Mus musculus: one gene and its partners. The protein of the gene in region 1 interacts with the protein of each later gene in a pairwise test. Links are inferred from orthologs where the notes say so. Each region holds a gene or a part of one and is shown in the gene's direction. Other genes may lie near its edges.

What was found. The genes of interacting proteins can lie anywhere in the genome.
Region 2: the proteins of Trim42 (region 1) and Emd interact in binary tests that used the Homo sapiens proteins (3 or more experiments, as listed by UniProt). The two-hybrid records come from large-scale screens. The link is inferred for Mus musculus from reciprocal best matches to the Homo sapiens genes TRIM42 and EMD.
Region 3: the proteins of Trim42 (region 1) and Ywhaq interact in binary tests that used the Homo sapiens proteins (3 or more experiments, as listed by UniProt). The two-hybrid records come from large-scale screens. The link is inferred for Mus musculus from reciprocal best matches to the Homo sapiens genes TRIM42 and YWHAQ.

What each region holds. Positions count from the first base shown.
Region 1 is NC_000075.6:97,367,453-97,371,199, reverse strand, and holds the start of Trim42 (tripartite motif-containing protein 42), read left to right. Parts: upstream 1-1,241; 5' UTR 1,242-1,355; coding exon 1,356-1,696; intron 1,697-3,747.
Region 2 is NC_000086.7:74,253,460-74,257,206, forward strand, and holds the start of Emd (emerin), read left to right. Parts: upstream 1-1,227; 5' UTR 1,228-1,492; coding exon 1,493-1,574; intron 1,575-1,748; coding exon 1,749-1,856; intron 1,857-1,993; coding exon 1,994-2,071; intron 2,072-2,283; coding exon 2,284-2,417; intron 2,418-3,418; coding exon 3,419-3,465; intron 3,466-3,547; coding exon 3,548-3,747. UniProt on the Homo sapiens protein: Stabilizes and promotes the formation of a nuclear actin cortical network. Stimulates actin polymerization in vitro by binding and stabilizing the pointed end of growing filaments. Inhibits beta-catenin activity by preventing its accumulation in the nucleus.
Region 3 is NC_000078.6:21,414,581-21,418,301, reverse strand, and holds the start of Ywhaq (14-3-3 protein theta), read left to right. Parts: upstream 1-865; 5' UTR 866-1,210; coding exon 1,211-1,504; intron 1,505-3,721. UniProt on the Homo sapiens protein: Adapter protein implicated in the regulation of a large spectrum of both general and specialized signaling pathways. Binds to a large number of partners, usually by recognition of a phosphoserine or phosphothreonine motif.

The sequences.
Region 1 (3,747 bases):
CCTTTAATCTTTGCAAGCTGTATGAAGGGGAAAGCAAGACTTCCCCTGATTGATAGGGCGCTGTTTCTAGAGTTCCTGGGTGCACACTGGCCGAGTAGCTAATGATTCTGCACCTCTTGATAAATGAATGTGGTGGGGTGGGGTGGGGCTAGGGTAGGGTGAGATGGGGTGGGGTGGGGTGGTAGGGTAGGGTAGGGTAGGGTGGGGTGGGGTAGGGTAGGGTGGGGTGAGATGGGGTGGGGTGGGGTGGTAGGGTAGGGTAGGGTAGGGTGGGGTGGGGTGGGGTAGGGTAGGGTGGGGTGAGATGGGGTGGGGTGGGGTGGTAGGGTAGGGTAGGGTAGGGTGGGGTGGGGTAGGGTAGGGTGGGGTGAGATGGGGTGGGGTGGGGTGGTAGGGTAGGGTAGGGTAGGGTAGGGTGGGGTGAGATGGGGTGGGGTGGGGTGGTAGGGTAGGGTAGGGTAGGGTAGGGTGGGGTGGGGTAGGGTAGGGTGGGGTGAGATGGGATAGGGTAGGGTGGGGTGGGGTAGGGTGGGGTGGGGTAGGGTAGGGTGGGGTGGGGTGGGGTGGGGAGGGGTGGGGTGGTCTAGGGCAAGGGTACAGAGGAGAAGAAAACAAAGTCTGAGTCCTAAACCTGTGGACGACTTAAGCATAAAGCCTCGTGATCATGAACTCTGAAGGGACATGAGTGAGCCTGTGTCTCTGTCCCTTCAGCCCCTTTTCTGAATAGTGATGACCCTTTCACTGTGATGGCGCCATTATTTGTAAACATTGTGCTTTGCTGGTCAGAGTTCTGCTGACGGAAGAGGAACATGGTGTCAGTCTGTATGTCTAATTAGTCACACCCCGGTCTTTCAGTCAATAAAGACAAAACAAAAACCAAAAAAAAAAAAAAACCTGAATTCAAGTTACCCAAATAGCAGTAATAGTACCAACCAAGGAAAAACAGCATCTAAAATCCATGTGAGCACTTGAAACACAACAGATGGCCGCTAAAGCCTCCAAGAGCTCCGTGGTGCCACCACTCCTGTGACATCAGTCTCTTGAAAAACACCCAGTATGTATCCCAGCTACCACCCCTGGGTGCCCTCCTCTTACCTACTACTGAGCATGTGAAGACATGGTGGGAGTCAGGGATTATGACATAAGCAATGTCCACAGGCTGAAATAGGTAACGCCAGCTCAGAGGAGGACCACCACCTGTGAAGGCCTCATAAACTGGCCAACTTCCTGCCACAATTCCCAAACTGCCAGCCTCACGAGAGTGGGCAAGGGTCCCTTTGGGAGAGAAGTGGCCACAATAATCTGGTAGAGAACATTGTCAAAACTCTAGAGGCCTTGTACCAGAACTAGGAGCCATGGAGACGGCTATGTGTGTCTGTTCTCCCTGCTGTACCTGGCAGAGATGCTGCCCCCGGCTGTTCTCCTGCCTGTGCTGCAAGTTCATCTTCACCTCCGAGCGGAACTGCACCTGCTTCCCCTGCCCCTACAAGGATGAGCGGAACTGCCAGTTCTGCCACTGCACCTGTGCAGAGAACCCCAATTGCCACTGGTGCTGCTGCTCCTGGGCCAATGACCCCAACTGTAAGTGCTGCTGCACGGCCAGCACCAATCTGAAGTGCTACTACTACGAGAGCCACTGCTGCCGCAATGTTACCATCACATTCAGAAAGGGTCGCCTTCGAAGCATCGTCACCTCGTAAGTACTGCATGAGTGCTGGCCATCCGTCGTTTGGCTATGTTGGCTCAAAATAACTGGAGAACATGTGCCAGCTGTGGGTACCCCAGAACAGGCCAGTGCTTCCTAGAGTATACTCTACATGGGAAACAAAAAAACAAACAAACAAACAAACAAAAACAATGGTAATTTTGTAGCAGTTAAACAGCCAAGTTCCTTTACCGATGTGAATGCATGCTACATGTACCCTTTGACCCCAAGAGCTCTCACCTTGCAAACAAGTGATGGCCCTCAAGAAACTTTGCCAGCCACTGTTCATGTATCCATCCCTCTCCTCACTCTGTGCCAGCTGGACTCAGGAAAATATTTAGCTGGGAGATACTAAGTTGCCCAAGACTAAGCAGCTAGGAAGGGGGTAGAGTCATGACTTGAATCCAGAGCTAGGGCAAGGGTCCAAAATTTAAAAAAAAACAAAAAGTCATGACAAAATGGAGACCCTTATATGGTATAGGCTCCATAGCCTGTTAGATGATCTGAAAAATATAAACTGTTCTTCATCCCCTTCCTGTAAACTGCAGCATTTACCAGGTGAGTACGGACTTCTAGGAGCCGCTTTTGACCATAGGTAGCAACCTACAGAAGTACCCTGAGCTGACAGCCACCCTTTCTTTCCCCTCCAAAGTCATGACTGTCAGGTTCTCAGTCACTCAGTAAAGTGGCTACCCCACAGGCTAGCAAGCTGCTCTTTTTAAGTCACATGTCAGGGACATCAGGAGCCAGGGGAGATTTCACAGGGAAGGGAAGATCACAGCTAGTGCTTTAGAGTCGTAGACATCAGCAGCTCCCAAATTCAGAAGTGCATATAAATCCCCTGGGGACCTTTAAAAATAAACGCTCCTGCATGCTCTCCACACCTCAGCATTCTCTTTTCCATTGATCTTGGGGTACAACGTGGGCTTCAGAACTGTAAGAACTCGATCCCCATCCGGTGATTCTAACAGGGAGAACTGGAGTCATCAGCGTGGGACCTAGAGGCTTGGAAGGCAGATGTGAGAACGAGCAAGACTTAGCAGGGAGTGGGCTGTGCAGTGGAGCAGAGGCAGGGCAGGAAGGCAAGGCTGTGGGCCTTGGTGGCTGCTTTAGCATGGAAATCTGTGGGCAGCAGACACCCTGTTTGTACTTCAGTGCCAGGCAGTCAGCTCTAACGTACTGGTGCTTGCCTTCCAACCCCCCTCTCCTGGTCTCCAAACCCCTTCCCTCCCAATGCTGTTCAGTGGCCTCACTTTTTCTTCACTCTGGTCTAATCTAGCCTTCCTGGATTCATTCTTTTCCTCAGTCCCTTTCTCATAACTACTCCAGTTCCTCGGGCCATTAACAGAGTTCTCTTAGCCCTGCCCATTCTCCACACAGTATCTCCTTTCTCCCTCCTTCCCTCTTTCTGATCGCTTCTACTCCCTCCATGTATTATACACTGACTCCAAGTCTTACTTTTCTTATCAGAGAAACTCATCTAGGTACAACATGTACTCTTGACTTGTGACTTCAGGTGACCCTTCTGGTACTAAGCAAGAGGCTTGGACACAGAAAAGAAATAGGACCAAAAACAGTGAGGCTGTAAGCCTAGATCTCAGCATCCAAGACCCAGGGATAAGCCAGCTCTCAGGTTGCCTAAGGTTATGCGGAGACACTGTATCTCAGGGCCACCCTAGGAAGCTCCTTTGACTGTCAGTGATCTGAGGCATGGGTTCCTTGGCCAAGAAGGAGACAAAGAGAAAGAGAAATCAGAAAGGGAAGGGGTCAGAAGAGAACACTGCCCAATGTCAAGTCCAGGACCTTACTATGAACAGAAAGACTCGAGAATAGCCAAAGATAGTGCATCGGCTTGCATCTCCATTCCCACAGCAGAGTCGCTTCTTTCCTAAACTGCTTTTACTCTGATTGCAGCTTCTCATACCATGCACTTGAATTGCACAAGCATAGTCTCTTCATTTGTAGTTCTTGCCATTGAATCCATGAGGGTGACCTCCAGTAGACAAATAGAGACCCTTAACTCACAATAGTATAAGCACACA
Region 2 (3,747 bases), on another chromosome or scaffold:
TTGAGAAGCACTGATTTAAGAGATCAGGCATCCTACACACTTTTTCTACGCGTACCCCTTCTTCTAGATCTCTCCAATAAAGGGCAGCCTACCTAGATCCACATGACTTTGTGTAGAATATAATGGTCATGGTCACTCTTCAAGGCAACCTTTCTCTGATCCAGATCCTTAGTAAGCCTCCATCAATTCCCATGGTTTGCCTCTAGGCCAGCAGTTCAGAACCTCTGGGGTCGCTATCCCTTTGGATCTCACATATCAGATATCCTGCATAACAAATATTTATATTTTAATTTATAGCAATATTGAAATTACATTTATGAAGTACAACACAATAATTTTATGGGTGGGGAGTCACCACAACATGAGGAACTGTATTAAAGGATTGCAGCATTAAGGAGGTTGAGAAATAGTGCTCTAGGCTTTGTACACTTGTCTAGGTCTCTAAGGTCACACCAAGCTTAGAGACTATTCTACTCAGCCAGAGAAGACCTCTCCCCCCAGAATTCCTCAGGGCCCAAGGTAGAACAGTGAGTATGGCAGGTACAAGGTGTACAGATCTACATGCATCACAGGGCAGGCAGGCAGGCAGGCAGGCAGGCGCCCTCTGATTGTGTGCATTGGCATACCCTGGACCTTTGGAAAGCTGCTTGATCCTGTAGTGCTGGTGGCCACTTGGCCCAGTGCTGGCCCCATTTCCTCGCGAATGGAACTAGGCATTAGAGAAGACGACGGTGGGAATGGGCCTGTGCAGGTGTGCAGGCCAGGGTCATGGAGACTGGGAAGACCAAAGGAGATGGGTAGGGAGTGCCAGGGCTCTGTGGGTGTCTATGTTAGGTGATGAGAGCCCTGTCTGACAGCATACAAAGAGCTCTCAGCAGCGTTAGGCGCTCTGGAAGGGTTCGCTCTCAGGATTGCTTTACACTGCTGTGGATCACACTGTGGCTGAGAATCCTAGGCACTGGAACACCGGGGGAATAAAATCAGGAATGAAGCCAGTAACAAAAGTATGTGAGATCTCACAGGTTGGGAAATCTCACAAGCCGGTTTTGGTCAAATCACTTGCCTCATCCCTAGTAAGTTGCGCTCTAAAGCATCCTCTAGTGAGGTCAGCCAGCTCCGCCCCTCGGCGGCCTAGCTCTCAAAGGAAGTCTCAACCGCTGCCGCACGAGTTCTGAAAGCTCCGCCTTCTCCCTGTTCGAGCCAATCTCTCACAAGCGTTACGTTTCTGTTTGCCAGCCCAGCCTGTTCCCTCAGCTAGACCGGTCTGCACCGGCCGTTCTGGCTAGTTTGGGCCTGCCCTGAGGAGCGCGCGCAACCTGCGTAGCCGCGGCTGTGACGCAAATGTGACGGCGGCGTGACGCGCCCACAGCCGCTCTTGAGGCTCTGGCGCTTCTTCTTCTAGGCTCCGAGCGGTTGGTTTCTTGGGCCCTGTCTGTAGGCCCCGGCCGCCCCTGGCGTTCAACACCGCTTCCAGGTGCCGGCCTTGTCTGCCATGGACGACTATGCGGTTTTGTCCGATACTGAGCTGGCCGCAGTGCTACGCCAGTACAACATCCCTCATGGGCCTATTGTGGGTATGCTGCACCCGGTGGCGCTCAGAACCTCTCTTGGTCCACTGCTTTCCCGCGCTCCTCCCTGAGCGTTCTCCCCACCTCTCCCTCCCCTCAAGTCCCCTCCCCGTGTTCCCTTGTGCTCTTGGGGTGCTCGGCTCACGCCCTCTGACCGCTTCGCACCCTGTGTCTGGGCAGGTTCCACTCGCAAGCTCTACGAAAAGAAAATCTTCGAGTACGAGACCCAGAGAAGGAGACTCTTACCCCCCAACTCGTCATCTTCTTCATTCTCCTATCAGTTCTCAGGTGAGCCCTTAACTGCAGAGCCCCAAAGAGCAGCTTGGGGCACACGTCTTAGGGAGGGAGGGTGTGGCCGAAGCTATTGAGGGAGTAGGGGGAAGGCTGGAGATCGAATGGTCCTGTCCCTCCTCCTTCACATGCAGACTTGGATTCAGCCGCCGTGGACTCAGACATGTATGATCTGCCCAAAAAAGAAGACGCCTTACTTTACCAGAGCAAGGGTAAGGCAGGTATAGGGTGGGCACTGATGTTTTTATCCCATGCTTCCGGGATTTGGGCACAGGGAAACCCCAGACCTCCCTCACCTCCTTGTACCAGTTCTCAGTGGCTTCAGAGGGGAGAAACTGACACAGCACACACAGGCTGGGGAGGGAGAAGAGGAGGCCAGTTAAGGGGCACCACTTTTTCCTCTACCACTGTTTTCCTCCCCAAGACTATAATGATGACTACTATGAGGAGAGTTATTTGACCACCAAGACATACGGGGAGCCTGAGTCTGTGGGCATGTCCAAGAGCTTCCGCCAGCCGGGGACCTCACTTGTAGATGCTGATACCTTCCATCACCAGGTGAGTTGGCTGGTAGGTATACCTGGGGTGCAGCCTTAGGGAATTCTAGGTTTGGATAGGTGCAGAGAGTGGATCTTAGGCTTTCAAATCTGGTTAGGGTCAGCATACAGCTGTCGGGTTAAAAATTCTATGTTGGAACCTTCAAAACTATTGGATTTGGGGATGCTCAGCAGAAGAGTATTTACCTATGGTTTCATCTCCAGCAGCACATAACAAATGTTTTGGGGTTTTGGCTTTTTTAAAAGATTTAATTACTTTAATTATACATATGTGTGGCCAATTTTTGTTAGTTTGTGGGTATTTCCCCCCCCCCACTTCACCCCCAGTAATGAAAAATTCCCAGAATTCCAAATATCACACAATTGTAGAAACTATCTGAAACTCACAGAAACACACCTTTGCTAAAAGCATGAGGCAACTCATAGTTAGCTGCTGTGAAGCAGCCCCATATTCCACACCTAAGATTAAAACAAAAACATATTCTTACAATATTTCTGTGTTTCTTAAAAAAGCCAAAATTCCAGAATTCTCACATACATGTCTGTGGGTAGTATGCATGAGTGCTGGCACCTACAGAGGTGAGAATTGTCATATTCCCACTAGAGCTAGAGCTACAGGTAGTTGTAAACTGCCTGATGTGTGTGCTGGAAATTGACCTCAGGTACCTAGGAAGAATAATATGTGCTCTTAACCAGTGAACCACCTCTTCAGCCCACAAACTTTTTTGATCAGAGAATATGTAACAGCTCCTGCACTCTAGTAATTAATCTACGATATAGATTTAAGCCTCCTGAGAATCCAGGGGAATAAAAGGATGCTGGAACAAAGTCAACAGGGTTAGTAACTGAGCAGCAAGGCCCCACAGATAAAGAGGCTCCACATACTCAGAATGGGGGAGGGGGGGGCAATTTTCTGGTCCCTATGATATGATTAGAGCAGGCTAGCCAGAGACATTTAAGGAAAACCATTCTTCCCCATTTCTAATCCTAATTATTCTGCAGGTGCGTGATGACATTTTCTCTTCTTTAGAAGAGGAAGGCAAGGATAGGTGAGTAGTGAACATATGTAGGGACAGGGACAAATTCGAGTCTCAGACTCTCCTGCCTACCTGTTGCCTTCTTTTGCCACAGGGAGCGCCTCATCTATGGCCAAGACAGTGCCTACCAGAGCATCGCACACTACCGCCCCATTTCCAATGTCTCCAGGAGCTCTCTGGGCTTATCATATTATCCTACATCCTCCACCTCTTCTGTGTCCTCCTCTTCATCTTCTCCCTCTTCATGGCTTACCCGACGTGCCATTCGGCCAGAGAAGCAGGCCCCTGCTGCTG
Region 3 (3,721 bases), on another chromosome or scaffold:
GAAATGCTTACCTGACGCTGCCACGCAGTCCTGCCCAGATCTCCTGAATCTACCTTTCCATAAGGGAATTGCTGGCTTTCGGGTGCCTGTGTGAAAACTTGAATTAAGCCACTTTCTCTGGGAACGAATCCTTTTTTAATGGGGATCAGGATATTTCTAATTTGTAGCCGAAACAGGAAAATTGTAAGGGTTGCATTTTAATGTCTTGGGGATACAAACCTTTGTCAAGAACAGGAAGGTAGAAGAAAGGAAGGCGCTTGTGCATCAAAAGGGCTAATTATCTCACCCCTGCCAAGTCCAGCTGCAGCCGCAGCAGCTCGAGAGCTGCAACGCCCCATCTGCAGTGGTTGCTGCTACAGGACACGCGGTCGCAGCCTCGGAGGTCGAAAGCACCTCCGGTCCCGTGCCGCACCCAGGAGTGCCGGGCTGGCGGGGAGGATGAGGGGAGTTGGAAAAGCATCGCCATGGCAACAGTGACGTCCATTCACCCTGGATCTAATTGGAGGAAACCCCGTGGCCGAAGCCGCAGCCTGCGGGCCAACCGAACCTACCCGAGCCGACCCACCCTCGGAGCCTCCGCTTCGCTTCCCGCCCCGCCCCCTGGGCCCCCTTCCGCGCGCTCGCCCCTCATTGGACAGAGGAGAAGCTAGAGGCGGGACTCCTTGGGGAGGTGCAGCGTTCTATTGGTCGGTGGCGAGCTCGTCGGCTCCGTGCTAGGCTGAGACGGGAGGGTCCTCGGCTAAAGCCCAAAGCAGATCAAAGTGGTGGGACTCGCGTCGCGGCTGCGGAGACTAGAAGGTGAGTGCGGACACAGCTCTGGGACTGCGGCTGCAACAGCCGCCGCGAGGTACCGAGGCCGGGTTGGCGGAGCACGGTCCTCATATCTGCTAGGCTACCGCGCGCCTGAGGTTCGGGCTGGGACGGGAAGGTGCGGCACCAACGGCCGCTTCCATCTTGGGCCGGGTGGGGCCCGCGCTCCGGCCTTGGGGAGGCGCGGCGGGCGGGCCGGAGGGCGCGGGCGGAAGGCGGCGGCCCCGTGAGAGGCCGGAGGACGCGCCGCCTCGTGCGCTGAGACAAAGCGGGCGTCCGGCTGCATTGTCTGACGCGCTCTCTCCTCGCTCCTTTTTGTCCTCGCCGGCGCCGCCCCGCCCCGCCCCTCGCGGCTCTCAGGAGGACTCCGGATCCGGCTCGGCGCTCGCCCTCGCTCGCCATGGAGAAGACCGAGCTGATCCAGAAGGCCAAGCTGGCCGAGCAGGCCGAGCGCTACGACGACATGGCCACCTGCATGAAAGCCGTGACGGAGCAGGGCGCCGAGCTGTCCAACGAGGAGCGCAACCTGCTGTCGGTGGCCTACAAAAACGTGGTAGGGGGCCGCAGGTCCGCCTGGAGGGTCATCTCGAGCATTGAGCAGAAGACCGACACCTCTGACAAGAAGTTGCAGCTGATCAAGGACTATCGGGAGAAAGTGGAGTCGGAGCTGAGGTCCATCTGCACCACGGTCCTGGTGAGTTGGCGCCGGCATTAGTGAGGGAGTAGGGCGGCGGGAGCGACACCCCTTTTGTGTGGTGTTCCCGATGGGGAGAAACCTGTGGGATAGAGAGTTTGTGATTTGAGCCCCAGGCTTCCTTCTTACCTGTTTCAGAGCTTTCTCGGGGGTGGGTAACTCTTTTTTTCCCAAGCTCTGGGGTACAAAAACTTGGGGGGAGTAGCCGCGTAGGCTTGCACAAGACTGAAAAAGACCTATTTAACCTTGTGCCAGGAGAGTGGTCCTGAGATCTGTAAGTTCTTTCATGTCGTAGAAGGCATGGGGACTTTTACCATAGAGATGCTAGAATTTCCCCAGCCCCCCAAGATTTAGGAGTGAAAAATCTAGACATGTTTTATTTTTCATGTAAGAATATGTTGAGCCTTTCCTTGCTAAAGAGGTGTGGGGGTGGGTGGGTGGATGAGTTCACTGGATGAAAAGGATACAGATAATTTGAAGAATACCATGCCCTGGTCAAATTTCACTATTTAATAGTGTTTGTTTGTTTGTTTTCTATTTGTTGCCTCACTTTAGTCCGGTGTATGGAAATGAAAGCATTTCTGGTGTGGATGGGCAAGGAAGGCTTTCCAGGTTTTGCACTATCCAGTCCCAACCGGGATGTTAACTGCTATGATTCACCCTTATTAGAGGGGGCACTTTTAAATCTTGAGTCATTCATTGCCCAGATCTCTTATTCAATAAAGCAAGTTTCTAAAATTTAAATAGCATGCCATAGAGTGTCAGATATTAATGCTGCAAACTGTGACTCCTGTTCACATTGATAGGTAGTTATAGACTGATGATGAAGTAGCTGCTGGGTTTGCTCTTCACATGCCACCTTTATATGAGGCAGCTGGTAGCTGATAGGCTTGCCCTGGATCTTTTTAGGTGTCTTTTATGCAGGGTTTCATAAGAGAAGGGAAAAAGGGGCTTTCCCTTCTAGCCTTCATTTCTTTATCACATCGAATCAATGGAACCTAGAACATTTTTCCCTGTTGTGTAAAACCTACCTGTTTTACTAAAACAAAAGAGATTATCTGAGCAAAATCATGGCTGATAGATACAGATGTTAGGGGTCAGAAGCAATCAGTTGGTAGTGAAGTGCAGAAAACTCTGTTTTGTAAAGATGCCATTTTGTTCTGTTAACATCTATGTGATCTTAAGTTCCAGTCCCTGTTTAGCTTAGGGGAGGCAGCTCTTTGGCCTGAATTTTTTTACATTCAAGAGATGTCAACTAGGATAGTAATAGCAGACTTTAATACCATATATTGATGGCTATTGTTAACACTTTGGGGTTTATTTACCCATGCAGTTCTGAATCACCAGATTTTTGTGTAAACTATCAGTTTAATTCTGAAACAAAGGAATATTTATTCCGTCTTGCAGCTCTTACACACAACAAAGAATTGTGTTCTGCCTGTATGTATGTATACCACCTATGGGGATGCATTGTCCAGAGACTGGAAGAAGGGGTCAGGGGTTATCTCCTGTAACTGGAGTTGTTAGCTACCATGTGGGTGCTGGGAACTCAACTGGGTTCTGGGGTCCTCTGCAAGAATAGCAAGTGCTGTTAACCACAGAACTATTTCTCCAGCCCAGAAAATTTGGGTTTTATGGAAGCATAGATGTGGGAGTTTTCCTTTTTTTGATACGGTTTGAGAGAGTGACCAGACATTTATTGGAGACCTCTCATGCATATCCTTTTAATAAGAGAACTTTTGAAATTGGGACAGTAGTGCTTTTTTCGTGCACAAGACAGAAATAGAAGAGGTAGGTAGGTTGACTAATTTGTACACTGATGCACAAATTAGCTGAATTTTGCCTTGATGACCAACCTGGAGAAGAACCCCGGGAAAGCATGTCTCCAGTTGGCAGATATTCTGGAGAGCTTGATATGTTTTGAAAGGTTAAACAATACAGGGAAGAACAAAGCTGAGAACCACTGATTTGATTTGATTTGATTTTTTTTGTCCTTGAACAATTTGTAATATAGAGAATTGTGCTAGGTAATTTTTATAAGGTGTTTATGAATAAAATGCAGTTTAGTTAGAAGGAAACAAACCTCAGATAAGACTCTACAGAGATAATAGATTTGAGGGTGAGTATTGAGGGAGCAGTGTTAGAAGTGATTGCCATGGGGAGGATTTGGGATAGAGCTTGAGGGAAGGTGTTTTTTTGTTTTTGGGGGTTTTTTTT